Linked DNA regions of Caenorhabditis elegans. The protein of the gene in region 2 purifies or fractionates together with the protein of the main gene of each other region. This does not show direct contact. Each region holds a gene or a part of one and is shown on either strand. Other genes may lie near its edges.

Region 1 (4,496 bases), on a different chromosome or scaffold from region 2:
ATTTCAGAGCGAAAGTTAGTTCAAATTCGTATTTTTTTTGATTTTTCATTGAAAAAGTAGGCAAAAATCGCATTTTTCCAGCTTTTCAGGCCATTTTCCATGATTTTTCAGGGTTTTAAGTATTTTTTTCAAGATTTTTCACCTGCTGGCTAGCCTGTGTCCCATCAGCTGCCTGCCGTCCAGTGATATCAGATAAACTTTCAGCATTAATTCCAATTTGAGCTGATCCACTGGAATATAGTTGCATTTGATTGTCAAATTGGGAAAACGAGTGAGAAGCGTCGGATTTGTGGAGCTGAAAAATGGAAAAATTGTGATTTTCAGCCGAAAAATTTGGATCTCTAAGGCTGAAATTCAGATTTTCTGTGAAATTTTAATGTTGTTAGCTCGAAAACTAAATTTTTCTGGAAAATTATGACAATTTGGAGCTAAAAACTGGATTTTTAAGGGAAAAAAAAGATCAATTTTTGAGAATTTGAAACTTAAAACTGGGTTTTGTTGAGATTTTTCTTCAAAAATTAAGCTATGTGAAAAACCAGTTGAGATTCTTTTTTTTGGTGAAAAATGCGAAATTGAGAGTATTTCTAAGTTTTTAAATAAAAAAAATCGACAGAGAAACATCGAAATTTCGGTGGTTTTCTTTCATTTTTCCATCAAAAATGCACACCTGAGCAACTTTATAAATCGCGCTGGGCTTCTCGTTGCAAATAAATCCCAAATAATGCCAATTTCCGCCGTCTTGGGTGGGCCATCTGATGTAAACTGAAATAAATTGGGTTTTTTTGGGCGGAAAATTCTGAAAATGATCACCAGAGCCACCAATTCCGTCCGGAAACGGTTGAGCTCCGGTAAGGAAGACCACCACGTGGTTTATCGCGTCAGCGTTTACAATTTCGCAGGTGAACTCCGTATCGGAGACCGGCACCACTTCGATCGGCGTCCTCCCTGAGACAATGACTCCAAAAATTCCAGACATTTTTAGTTTTTACTCTGAAAATATATCAATTTCTCAGCTCGCTGTCGTCCAGATCCAGATAAACATTTTTGTAAAGTTGAGACTTTTTTATTATTTTGGTTAAAAACAGCTTGAAAATTAAGCCAATTTGGTGTCAAACTCTGCATTCATTCTCTAGTTGAATGGATGTCAACTGTGCGAATTTAGAAATAAATTATATAAAAAAGACAGGGTAAAAAATTGAATAATAAACGAAACTTTCTGGAGAAAGGCAACAAGAAAAAGTACAGAAGATTTTGATGAGATAGCAGAGCAAAAATGGTTGAGAAGATCGATACAGAGGAGAGAGCACGGGAAGCTCAGACACGTTGGACACTTAGAGGGGCTTAAGGAATTAATTTAATAGTTTCTGTTTCCTCCTTGAGCATGAGCCCACTGCTGAGCACCGGATTGACCTCCCCAGCCGCCTTGCTGCTGGCCTTGGCCTCCCCAGCCACCGCCGCCGCCTCCTTGTTGAGGACCTCCCCAGCCTCCTTGCTGCTGTTGCTGTGGTCCTCCCCATCCGCCTTGACCGCCGCCGCCTTGCTGTCCCCAGCCACCACCTCCTTGCTGCTGTTGTGGGCCTCCCCATCCGCCTTGACCGCCGCCTCCTTGCTGTCCCCAGCCACCGCCGTAATCTGAAAGTTAATAATATTAGAATCGAGAATTCACAAGCCAGAATCCAACTACCTCCGCCATATCCTCCTTGGCCGCCACCTCCTGGTCCACCATATGCTCCTGGACCGCCGCGTTGAGCTGGTCCTCCCCAGCCGCCGCCGCCACCACCACCGCCATTGTAACCGCCACGCTGTCCATCGCGAGATCTTCCGCCACGGGTTTCACGATCGCGGTTCATCTGAGCCTTGCTCATCTCGTCCTTGGAGAGTCCTTTGCGCACGTCACATCTGTGTCCGTTGACCATATGGGATTTTTGAAGAACGCATTGATCCACAGAGTCATGATCATCGAAGGTGACGAATCCGAAGCCTCTTGGCTTTTGGGTGGCTTTGTCGAGAATAATCTCGGATTTGGTGACGGTTCCATACTTTGTGAAATACTCGGTGAGCATGTCCTCGGTGTGATCCTCACGAACTCCGCTGACGTACAGGCGTTTGGTGGAGACATTCGACTCGGAGCGGTTCTTATCATCACGTGGCACGGCACGCTTCGGGTCCACGGTCTTTCCGTCGATGATGTGCGGGCGTTGTTTCATGGCAGCATCGACTTCAGTTTTGCCAGAGAAGGTGACAAATCCGAATCCGCGGGATCTCTTGGTAGTTGGATCTCTCATGACGATGATATCAGTGATTTCTCCGAATTGTGAGTAGAACTCTCGCATCAGGTCATCGGTGGTGTTTGACGTGAGTCCTCCAACGAAAATCTTTCGAAGGTTCTCTGGCTCGAGCGAGGCATCTCCGCTTCCATTCTGAAAATAAAATCGATAATTAAATGATCGGGACCCAAATCAGGTGGCCTACACCCTAAAAGCAAGTGAACAAACGTAACCTCAGCCTTGATTTCCACGTCCGTCATGATCTAGTTCTTAGTAGTCGATCGGATTGTGCTAACAAGTAGTTCTTAGCTTATGAAGTAGGAAATAGACAGGCTAGTTTCACGGTGTAACTACCTATCGAACGCTATTACTCACAAAGAGTGACAGAGGTGTTGATCACTGAAATAGGTACAAGTTAGAGTAAAGATAAATCTAAAAATAGATTATTAAGTTAAATATAGACGCCATGCACGAGTAGACTATTCGTGGAAAATAACAAATCGATAAATATCTGAGAAATAAGACTATTTTAGCGAGTTTTATTCGTATTTAATCAAAGATTACGGATAAATTCGAGCTAAAACTACACAACAATTAGATTATCTGAATTAAAATGAAGAATTACGCGAAAACAGTGCGCGGAAAACCTGTAAAACATACCTTTTTGTGACGAAAACCGAGAGAGAATGCTCTCGAAAACCACAGAGAAAAGGGTTACACGCGACGCGCCGCATTCCTAACCGCGTCGCGTCGCGTCTGTTCGCGGCGAGACCCGAGTCGATAAATGTGTGTGCCTTTAAGAAAAAAAGGAGGGAAACTTTATTTTTTGAATTTAGTTAAATTTTTACAAATTAAAAAAATAACTTTTAAAAAGTATTTTCAATACCAAATTCCAATTTTGGAATTTTTGTTTAAAAAACGTTAAAATTCTTCTACAAATTTTAAGAAAAATATTTCTACAAATTTTTATGAAAATCAACTAGTTTATAATGGCTTTTCGGATTTTTCACAAGGAAGATGAACATTTTGATTTCTTTGACATTTTTTCACGAAAAAAACGTTCAAATAATCTTTGAATCCTTTATTTTTCTCGAAATTCTCACGATTTCTTATGAAAAATAATGTTTTAATTTATAATTAATGTGGTACTGTAGGGATACTGTTGGTTTACTGTAGTTTAGGAAAAATGTAGTTCTTAGCTGTTGAAGAGATATATTGGGCTGGGAGTTGGGCGAGGAAAAATAATGTCAAGGTACATACAGTAGTGGGATAATGCAGGATTACGGTAGGACTACTGTAATTTGGAAATTTTTTATACCATGTGATTTTTCTGAAACAGAAGCATCCCAGCGCTGCGCAGAAAAAAGAGATATTCATACCTGTTTTAGGTTTATAAAAATATTATACTGGTAAGACTAGGGCTGTCATATTTGGCGTCCGGTCGTCCGGTTTTGACAGGTTATCAATAGACTTTAATAATTTTCCAAAATTTTCAAACATCTAAAACCAGACGCACAAGGTTCTGACGCCGGACGTCCGATATGCCAGCCGTAGGTAAGACTGGTTAAATATGAAACAACGATTTACTTAAGTAACAGAAAAAGGTTTGATAGACATGTAAACGTATTAGAGCAACCATTGAAACTTCACCATCCATCTTGCCTTTGACGTATACGCTCGTGGATTGGCCGTTCGTCTCTACGACGTGGTGGATTAGCTCCCTTGTGCTTGTGGATTTCAAGCTTGTTTTTTGTTATATTGATCACAAAACTGGAATCAGTTCCCACCGGTCTGAACTCTCTTCCTCTATAAATTAATAGGTGATTCGGCGTAAAGACGTTCTCAATGGCTTCTTTTTCAAGTAGTTGAACATCGATAGTTGCTGACTCGAAGCTGGGCGATCTGAGGAGAATCTGGAATATAGAATACATTACAAAACGCTACTTTAACTACCAACTCACATCTCTTATCTGAACAGCATCATCGATTGATAGAGTCTGAAGACCGATGGAGAACTGGTCAAAGTGGAAAAATCTTTGAATAGGAATGTTCATTCTACCACCAATGCACAGAAAATGTTTCGCTTGCTTCCACTGCTCGAGATTTGCAATTTCTTCACTCATCTCCTGGCTAGCTGAGCAATAACAAGAATACATGCGGATTTTCTCGAGATAACCTGGGCGAAAGTACTTCACCATCGAAATATTGTCCACAAAGTCGATTCCAGTC
Region 2 (5,552 bases):
CCATTTCTTAGACGGAAATCTTGAAATCGACAAAGTTTTGAGATATTTGAATATTGGAGAGGAGTTGAGAAAATTGGAAAATTGAAAAAAGGGAGTCCAAATTTCATAAATTGAGGCAGCACTCCCAAAATGGGAACTCTAATTTAATTACGGGGGGTACGGTACGGTGCGCCCTAAATTTTCTAATTACTTGTGACGATTTTCAACTACGAAAGAAATTCAGAAATTTAGACATTTATAAAAACGCGTTTTTTAAACTAAACCAAAATGATTTCAGGCTTCCACGTAGGCTTTAAAATAGTTTTTGAAGGGCTAAACCTAGATTTTCTAAATTCAGCGTATACGAATTACCCGTTTTCAACAAAATTAGACAACTTTTTATTTTTGCCCAAATTTTTTTCAGCCATCTAATGACTGTACATTTTTTTTGGCAAAACAAATAATTTTTCTACAAATGTTCAAAATTATTATGTTCTAAAAAAGAACAATTTTTTAAGGTTCAGAGATCAAATTTGAGTCCTCCAGCTTTAAAAATAACCATTTTAGAGGTGTTTCAAAATTGTGAATTTTTGCCACTTTTTAATAGTTTTTGATGGGTTAAACCTAGATTTTCTAAATTCAGCAAATACGAATTACCCGTTTTCAACAAATTTTGGCGATTTTCTATTTTTTCTCATTTTTTCAGCCATCTAATGACTTTCGTTTTTTTGGCAGAAATAATAATGTTTTGAAATTGTACAAAACCATTAGAAATCAAAAAAGGACAATTTTTTAGTGCTCGGAATCAATTTTGAGTCCTCTAACTACAACACTAACCATTTTAGAGGAGTTTCAAAAATTAAGTTATTCAGTGGAAAAAGTTTGAAATAGGAAAAGGTAGAAAGTTGTAAAACAATAGAAAACTGAAATACCCGGACGTTTCGTGAGATTTGTTGAGGTCCTGTTGCCATAACGGCTGGTAACCATAGGCTCTTCTTTACGGGAAGCTCATCAAATATTCAAAGTGAGCTGTGCTCTTTGAGCATTGCCTATTGTTCTTGGTTTGCCTAGCAACGTGGCAATGTTGTGGACCGGAGAGTTTCTAGTTGAAGAATCAAGAAAATGTTAGTAAGGAGGTATAAAATCTAAGATTGCTGGAGAATATTTAGTTTTTTTTAATGTAAAAATCGATAAAAATCGAATTTAATAGATTTAATAAAATTCACAAAATTGGAAGAAAGCTGAATTAACTTAAGAATCAAGTTCCTACTGGATTTCAGTTTTAACTTTAATATTTCGATAATAGTCATACGAGGTTTTTGAAATTTCATCAAAATTATTATTAAATCCAAAAAAATACGAAGAATCACAAAAATTGCATAGAATCGTTTAAAATCAAAAAAAAAACAAAGTTAATTTATTATCCATGTGGATCTGGCTTAATCTGGCGTGGCAACCCATATGGTGACATTCCTTTCTGTGATGCACATTTATTTGTACCATATTGCAATGGGATCACCATTTCACCCCTTCTCATCACTGCTTCCGGGAATTGACGTGGCGATGATTGGGCAAGCTTCACCACCCACGCTGGATGCTCCAAGTGAGAAGAACGGGATTGAGCGACGGCGGCGAGGAGACGCAGACATTCGATTACCTGGAACATTTGAATTAAGTAAAATTTAGTAATAAAGTAGTAAAAGATTTTAAATAACAATTTTCCTGTTTCAAAAAACAATTTCTAAATTTTTGTTAAATTTTTCATAGGGCCCGGGGGGCCCGCCAGCCCTTTCGGTATGGGGTGTGCTCGAAATAAATGAGGCCGCTACGATCAAAACTAAACGAGTTACGTCCACTTGACGTTTTGAATGATTTTTTGACATTTCTTAGAGTCGGAGGACCTGCGACCTTTTAACGGGATCGCCTACGGCCTGTTTTGCTTGGAATAAAACTAAAGGCGGCCCAAAGTTTTCATGAGTGATGGGCCAGAAAAAAAACTTGACCACATTGTCATATTCCAGATAGCTGAATTTGTTTTCAAACAATGTTTTAAATGTTCCAGTGTTTGAAGGTGCTATTCTATTACAGGTGACTCATTTTACAAAGTTAAATTTAACATTTTGTTCACAAAAAAACCTAAACATAAGCCTACACCTAGGTCAAAACCATAGCTTGAACCGAAGCCTGAACCTAAGCCTGAACCTAAGCCTCAGCCTAAGCCTAACATTCAACCAGCCAGGGCTAAGATTAAGAATACCTTGAACTCACCTTATAGCATTGTTTGTTCTCATACAAATCCACAGTCTGGAAACAGCTAATTTCCATAACACCAAATTGTTTGGCAGCTGCCAGGAAATTTGAAATATTTTCCATCTGCAATGAAAACTATTGTTTTATTTCAACTTTTAAGTACGTTTTCTATCAGCCAAAAAAAAATTAAAGAACATACCATTGGAAATGCCATTTTTGGTTTCTTATTATACACGACTCGACAACTGGGATCTAGTTTCTCAATCAGCTTGCATAGCATCACACCATCCTTGAGTAGATTACTGACGTCAGTTGATGATTCACAAGTGGTCACATCAAATGAGAACCTCTCTCCTGTTACATTCTCAATCCATTTTAGAACTTCGATTGCTTCCTCCAATACAAAACGGGCGTCGTTCTGAAAGTTTTGGCATTTTTTGGGGTAAATCTGAAAAAATATACCTTCTTCTGTAGTTCCCGACTCAGCCCATAGCTGGGACCATGATTGGCCATAACTTGTGACAAATTGGATCTGAAAACTTAAAACATTATTTTCTTAAGAGAAAAATCTAGAAAAAATGGGGAAGTAGCGGTTGACATAGATACAATTCATTTTAAAAACTACTCGAAAAATATAAAACTCAGATGTTTTGATTTTTCAGAGTAGTTGGTAGGTAGGTTTAAGCCTGAGAATAAGCCTAAGCCTAAGCCTAGCCCTAAACCTAAGTCTAAGCATAAGCATGAGCATAAGCCTAGGCCTTAACATAAGCCTAAGCCTAAACCTACATGTTTTTTGGGCAATTTAACCAAAGAAAATCATACAATCAATAATGAAATTTTGAGAGAAAAGATAAGATGAAATCGAAAATGCTTTCACCACCGCCGAAATGTATGAAATTTCTGGAAGAGTGGTTTCTACAAAGCGGCGGAAGGTGGGGGCGAGTGGAATTTCGGAAGACAGTGTGTGGATGGACATAATACACGTAAGTCTGCGTCTCTTCATATTTTCTCTATCTCTCAGCCGATATCGTTCTCTTATCGTATAAATGTTGTGATGAACGGCATCTTTTAAGGAAGGAATAAATGAACGGGGGATTTGGTTTGATTGGGGAAGAGAAGACATGATGAATATGTTAGGAGGAGAAGAAGATGTATACATTGAGATGGATAAAAAGTAGGTACTTAGAACAAAAAGAAATTGGCTTAAATGGTGGAATAGGACCAGTGGGAAAATGATTAAAAATCATTCCCATGGTATTAAAAATACAGAATATTATACAAAAACTGTTTTAAAATCAGGGTTAGGCGTAGGCTTAGGCTTAGGCTCAGGCTTAAACGCGGCATACCCACATACTTTGAAAAATCAAAACATCTAATTTTTTAGTAGATTTTAAGAATCTCACACAAAAAATAAACATTTTGGAAGTTTCTTAATTTCCAGTCAAAATGCGGTGCTCAAAATGTGGGCTTTTTTGAAGCTTGAAGATGAAAAAAATTCGAATACTGTGGGGGTTCGTCCGAAGTTTTTCGAAAATATTAAATTTTTGTTAAGCTTACTATTAGCAATTTACAAAAATGCAACTGAAGTATTACAAAAAAAATGTTTCAATACTTACAATGAAAATATTTTTTAAATTATTCAAATACTTTTGCGACAATTTTTTAAATGTAGACAGTTTTTTTTTTCAAACAGCTCTGTTATGAATTGAAACCTAGAAAATAGAAAAAAGTTGGAAAAACGAGTATGTACATATATGAGAAGAAATGAGAGAAGATGGCCAGGTAATTAAGGGATTATGGAAAGAGAGTAGTTTGTGGAGGAGACCTATGTGGGATTGTTAGGGCAATAAGAAATAATAAGAGAATCGAGATGAATGGTGGAAAGGACTAGAAGATTATAACTAAACGGTGGTGTTATTTGAACATTCTGCCAGAATTATAGGAAACGGCGGGGAATAGAAATTTTAACTAGAACTTGAAGTGAGAAGTTTGACAATTCCATAAAATTGAAATTTTTCAAAAAATTTGTATTATTTGGTTTGGTAAGAATTCTACGTTCTTTTCAGGGACATTACAATTTGACACAACAGCCCCCTTTCACAAAAGTTTGAAAATTTTACAAAAAAGTTCCTCGCAGCTGCATTGCAAACATTGCAAAAAATAGATTTTTGATGAAAATCTGAAAAATCTTGAAACTTTAAAAACCGCAAAACTAAAAAAAAGCTCCACAAATTTCAAAAATAGCTTCAAGCTTGTTCGTCTTGTTGAATAATCGTCTCCCGAACTAAAAAAAATATCGTACAGGGTGTCTAATCCGTTGCCCTGTCCCCAGCTTAATCATGTTTACAAATAGTCTTCTCCCCACCATGTTTACCTCCCTCCTATTTTTTGTAGCTTCTTCATTTTTGGAAGGAATAGAACAGAGACATTCTGACATTTGAAATATTATGACAACACTCGAAAAGGACACCAGACAATTAGTTGTAACATATTGACATTAACACGACATGAAACATTTGTAATGTTGAATTTATAGGTTTGTGGGAATTTCAGCATTTTTTGTTCTGAAATACTTGGGAGAATTTTCAAAAAAAATTTTTTTGTAACATTCTTTCAAAAAACAAGAAAAAATTCAAAAATTCAAAAATTTAGGTTTTTTTTTTCAAAGCGTCGGTTTCATTTGCCTACCAAATAATTTGATTTAGAAAACGCAAAAATCCAAAATAGGCCCCACCTATATCTTGGCTGCTTCTTGTGTGAAACATCTCGAATTTGAATTCTTGATCCCAGAAAAGAAAGAGTTCATAATCTATTTTCATATACTTTCTACGTCTAGAATATTCTGGCACACGTACTCCATATTCTGAAATTTCCCACGGGTTTCTCAGTAATTCTCTATACCTTTTTTTTCGGTTTATTTCTTATGAACTGATTTTCGAAATTTTTTATTTACTCAGTGGTAAATTATTTGTTTCTTAAATTAAAAAAAAAGAAAAAAACATTTAGGTTGGTTAGACAGATGCCAATGGTACAGAAGGCCGAGGCTTCAAACCTCCGATACCCCAATTTTTTTGTTGTTGTTTTATTTCAAGTTTATGAGTTTCTTCAATCCTAACACATTTTTTTAGCCAAATCAAGCCAAAATTGATGTCAAAATAACGGATTTTTACTAATACTGAATAACCCTTCAAAATGCGTTTTCCTGGAATTTTCTTATGACCTGAATCATTCTCTGAAGAAGCCAAGATTCTGACTACATTTGTGTCGTCACATGCACACTCGTAATCAAACCTTTTTGGAATTGAAATTCGCAGAAATATCCG
Region 3 (3,583 bases), on a different chromosome or scaffold from region 2:
TCTATATTTCAGATTTAGTTATTAAATTCGTTAATTTTGTGTTACTATCTATACGTGACTACATATAAAATATTCATTTGTTCTTCTTTTATAAAAGTAAAAAGGTATTTTTTGAGCTCTCAAATTCTTTAATTGATTATACAACTTTCAAAAATTAAAGCAGGAATCACATTATAATTTTTGGGATTCCCCGATATCTAAATGGTTGTTTTGCGGATATTGACTTTCCTTTCAGATGACTCGGTGGCACTGCTTTTACAAATCGATTTTTCTGGAAAATTTTGAATTATTTAGCCTATAAAATCCACAAAACTTACATCATCCGGATGGCACCTCCTGAATTTAAGACCATAGTTGATAGTAGGTGGAGGAATTGTTGGATAACGTGGGTCTTGATGTACTCTGAAAAATTTTAAATGGTTGTGTAATGAGTGTCAGAGCTCACCGAATTTTTCTGGAGTGATGTCTTGGACGATATGCAATGTTTCTGGGTTTTTGATGGTGCTTTATACTATTAAAGTTTCTTAATACAGTAACATCCTCGTTATTTTGAGTATTTCGAGAAGTTGAAGTATTTCTTTGCTTTCTCATTTTTCTTCTAACTATTCGCTTTGGCTGTTTCTTCACTTTTCTTTTCTTCTTATGTGTTTCCGTTGTGTAAATTGGACCAGGTAGAATAATCGGTGATTCAACTTCCCGAATAGTCATCACTTCGTAATTCATCATTCTATCGTCATCTTGTTCACGAGAATGATTGTCAAATAATCTTGGCTGCTCTGTAATAACATCTTCCTGAAGACGAGCTTCACTAAAGCGCCTTCTGACAGAATCAGGGCTTGTTGGCACAGAGTTGAATGGGGTCCAGTCGTCTGAAATTTTAAAATTGAATCACTTTTACGGGTAAGGCAGGATATCACGATAGTGTCTAAAAGGAGGAAGAATTTTTTCTTGTTTTCTGCCTGGAATTGTTTCAGGATTAAAATAGCAAGCCTCGAAGTTTGCCCGCTGGCCCGAAATAGCCTATTCATCAGTCAGCCGCAGAAGGGTTGTTTTTGGGGACCCCGCTTTACCGGTGTAGTATTATTTGACATTGGTAATTTTTTAATTACGGTTAAACATAAGTTAAACAATAAAATTACAAACCTGCACAAAGAGTTCCTGGGCCACATAATGTTTCATCAATATCACTTCCCCAGGCGCTATGTCTATCTTCTGAAATCTCAGTTTTCTTTTCTAAATTAAATAATATTTCAAACCTTCTACATGTTCTGGAGCGGTTCTGGAACTTTTTTGTCCCATAGAGAATACAAAAAGAGACGAAAATGGTTCAGTGGAACGAAACAAACGTGGGATGTAACCATGGAAGTGAGAATAATTGATGGAATAGCTAATGAGCTGAAGCTGAGTAGATCAGAGACTACTTTATTCTAAAAAGTACAGTAGTTGGAAAATTACATGTTTCATTTCTAATTTTCAAGGAAAAGCTAGTAATTACCGTAATCTTGTTTGTACCTGAAATTTTATGTACTGCAGGTGACCAAGTATGTTTGAGGCATGACTTCACACACCTAACTGATAAAGGCCTCTATCACAAACTAGAGTTGTGACGGAAAATTCAACTTCTCAGAATATAGCTCAAAATCTATCAAATTTTATTTTCAAAAATCCAAATAATTGTGCACGCAATGTACTTACTGCTTCATAAAGTTCAGAAGAATTGGATAAATTTGAATGAAGTTTTCAAAGCTTTTATCAGTGACTGTACATTGTGATAGGCTTGTGCTGTTATCAGCTGCCTCAAATAGGTTGTCGCTTGAAAATTTATATAAAAGGCCTACCAGCAGACATGAGAATCAAGCTTCAAAGGCTCTACTCAAAAATGGTCTGCAAGTGTGGTAAGTTGAAATTTCATTACGCTTTTAATTAATTTTGAATGAAACCCCCTTTCCCAGACTGCAAAAACCAAAATTGTTCCTGCAACACCGGAACTAAAGATTGCGATTGCTCCGACGCCAAGTGCTGTGAGCAATACTGCTGCCCAACTGCCAGTGAGAAGAAATGCTGCAAATCTGGATGTGCCGGAGGATGCAAGTGTGCCAACTGCGAATGTGCTCAGGCTGCTCATTAATTTGAAATTAATACTCTTCCCTTTGAAACAAATTCCTACTAATTGATATTGTTCGAGGTTTTTTCTTGAAAGCTGAAATAAATGTTAAATATTTATTGTAATTTCTTAGATTTTTAAACTGTCTTCCTTGTCAACGACCAGAAGCAAAAATTATGGGAATCGCGATAAAATTCAAGGAAAACTTTTGATCATCACTTTTGATCTTCACACGATTTGTTCCTTTTCAAGTAAAATATAAATCTTTTTCCGAACAGACTGAATCCATTATCAATTTTATAGACAGTGGAAAACATTTATCAAGTTAAGACAATTTTGAAAATTACGAAAAATCATTTGACCCAAATGGGTCAGGTGTTATTTCTTAATTCAAAAGATCTCAGAACCAGGAAAAAACATTTTTGTGTGGTTTGTTTTCAGCTGCTTTTCACTTAATAAATCAATTAATGCATCAACCAAATTGTTAAAAACTACAAATAGTGCGACTGAAAATTTAAAAATTGTGCCCAAACTTTTAATGAGGTTATCAATTTTCAATATCTCGAACATTTGGAAATTTTTGGAATTTTTTTGTTGGAAATTTGCTTAAAGTATTTACTAACTTTTGATCTCATATGTTTGAATGGGTTTAGATGGAAACTACCAAAGAACATGTGCAAAAGATCTCAGACGCGAAAAGCTTATCCTATTGAGTGATCAGTTTTAGAACAGGTGAAAACGTTTCCTAGCTAAATTATGAGCTTTTATCCCTTTTTAATTTCTCTCCGTGATTTACTTTATTACCTCAATACCTCAAAATGTGCACCGAGGATATTAATTTATTTGCGACTGATGAGTTCTATGCTGGAATTCTTCACGTACCTACAGCCATCGAAGTGACCGTTCAATTGTTCGGAGCATATATTATTTTAACTAAAACTCCGCGCAAAATATGTTCTGTAAAGTTCAACATGGTCTTATTGCACATTGTGGGAGCAATCGTCGATTTATATCTAAGCTTTATTGCATCTCCAATGCTAACACTACCTGTCAGTTCAGGATATCCTCTTGGATTCTCTTTAATATTAGGTATTCCAACTGATGTTCAGGTTTATCTTGGATGTGTTTTTGTTGGGGGTTAGTTTATTTTGAATTGGCTAACTAATGGTAATAGTATAATAAATATAAAACGTCTTATTGAAAACAGAAGCTTTATTATGTTTTCAGTTTCGATATGAATTAATCTAATCTCAATAACAAATTATTTGATTCCCAATTTTTTTGTGATGTCTTTGGCTTTTTATTTAAAGAAAACTTCGTGCCAAATTTTGGCAACGCACCTTTGACAACTTTCTGTCCAATTTCGGCAGTTTTCTGTCGAACCTTTGTAACTTCCGAGAGTGAGTAAGTTGTCAAGGTTTGAGAGAAAAATCCCAGAATTTTACAGTAGGTTGTCTAAGTTTGACCAAAAGTTTCCAA

Evidence for each region. Proteins that work in one complex are often made in the same cells at the same time.
Region 1: the proteins of cpn-2 (region 2) and hrpa-1 fractionate together in Caenorhabditis elegans (co-fractionation; one large-scale study listed by BioGRID). This does not show direct contact.
Region 3: the proteins of cpn-2 (region 2) and mtl-2 fractionate together in Caenorhabditis elegans (co-fractionation; one large-scale study listed by BioGRID). This does not show direct contact.

Annotation. Positions count from the first base shown.
Region 1 is NC_003282.8:3,335,879-3,340,374, forward strand, and holds hrpa-1 (Heterogeneous nuclear ribonucleoprotein A1), read right to left. Parts: upstream 2,968-4,496; 5' UTR 2,928-2,967; intron 2,667-2,927; 5' UTR 2,528-2,666; coding exon 2,501-2,527; intron 2,421-2,500; coding exon 1,682-2,420; intron 1,633-1,681; coding exon 1,355-1,632; downstream 1-1,354. Other genes in the region: F42A6.6 (Hikeshi-like domain-containing protein), read right to left, coding at 143-295, 668-976. UniProt on the Caenorhabditis elegans protein: This protein is a component of ribonucleosomes. Overexpression gradually increases telomere length, leading to increase lifespan.
Region 2 is NC_003280.10:334,991-340,542, reverse strand, and holds cpn-2 (Transgelin), read right to left. Parts: upstream 2,762-5,552; 5' UTR 2,743-2,761; coding exon 2,692-2,742; intron 2,648-2,691; coding exon 2,429-2,647; intron 2,353-2,428; coding exon 2,248-2,352; intron 1,637-2,247; coding exon 1,400-1,636; 3' UTR 1,298-1,399; downstream 1-1,297. Other genes in the region: clc-31 (Claudin family protein), read right to left, coding at 1-4.
Region 3 is NC_003283.11:14,016,916-14,020,498, reverse strand, and holds mtl-2 (Metallothionein-2), read left to right. Parts: upstream 1-1,825; 5' UTR 1,826-1,879; coding exon 1,880-1,895; intron 1,896-1,952; coding exon 1,953-2,128; 3' UTR 2,129-2,229; downstream 2,230-3,583. Other genes in the region: T08G5.1 (Titin), read right to left, coding at 167-271, 318-402, 446-869, 1,144-1,212, 1,257-1,299; srh-308 (Serpentine Receptor, class H), read left to right, coding at 2,923-3,241. UniProt on the Caenorhabditis elegans protein: This protein binds cations of several transition elements.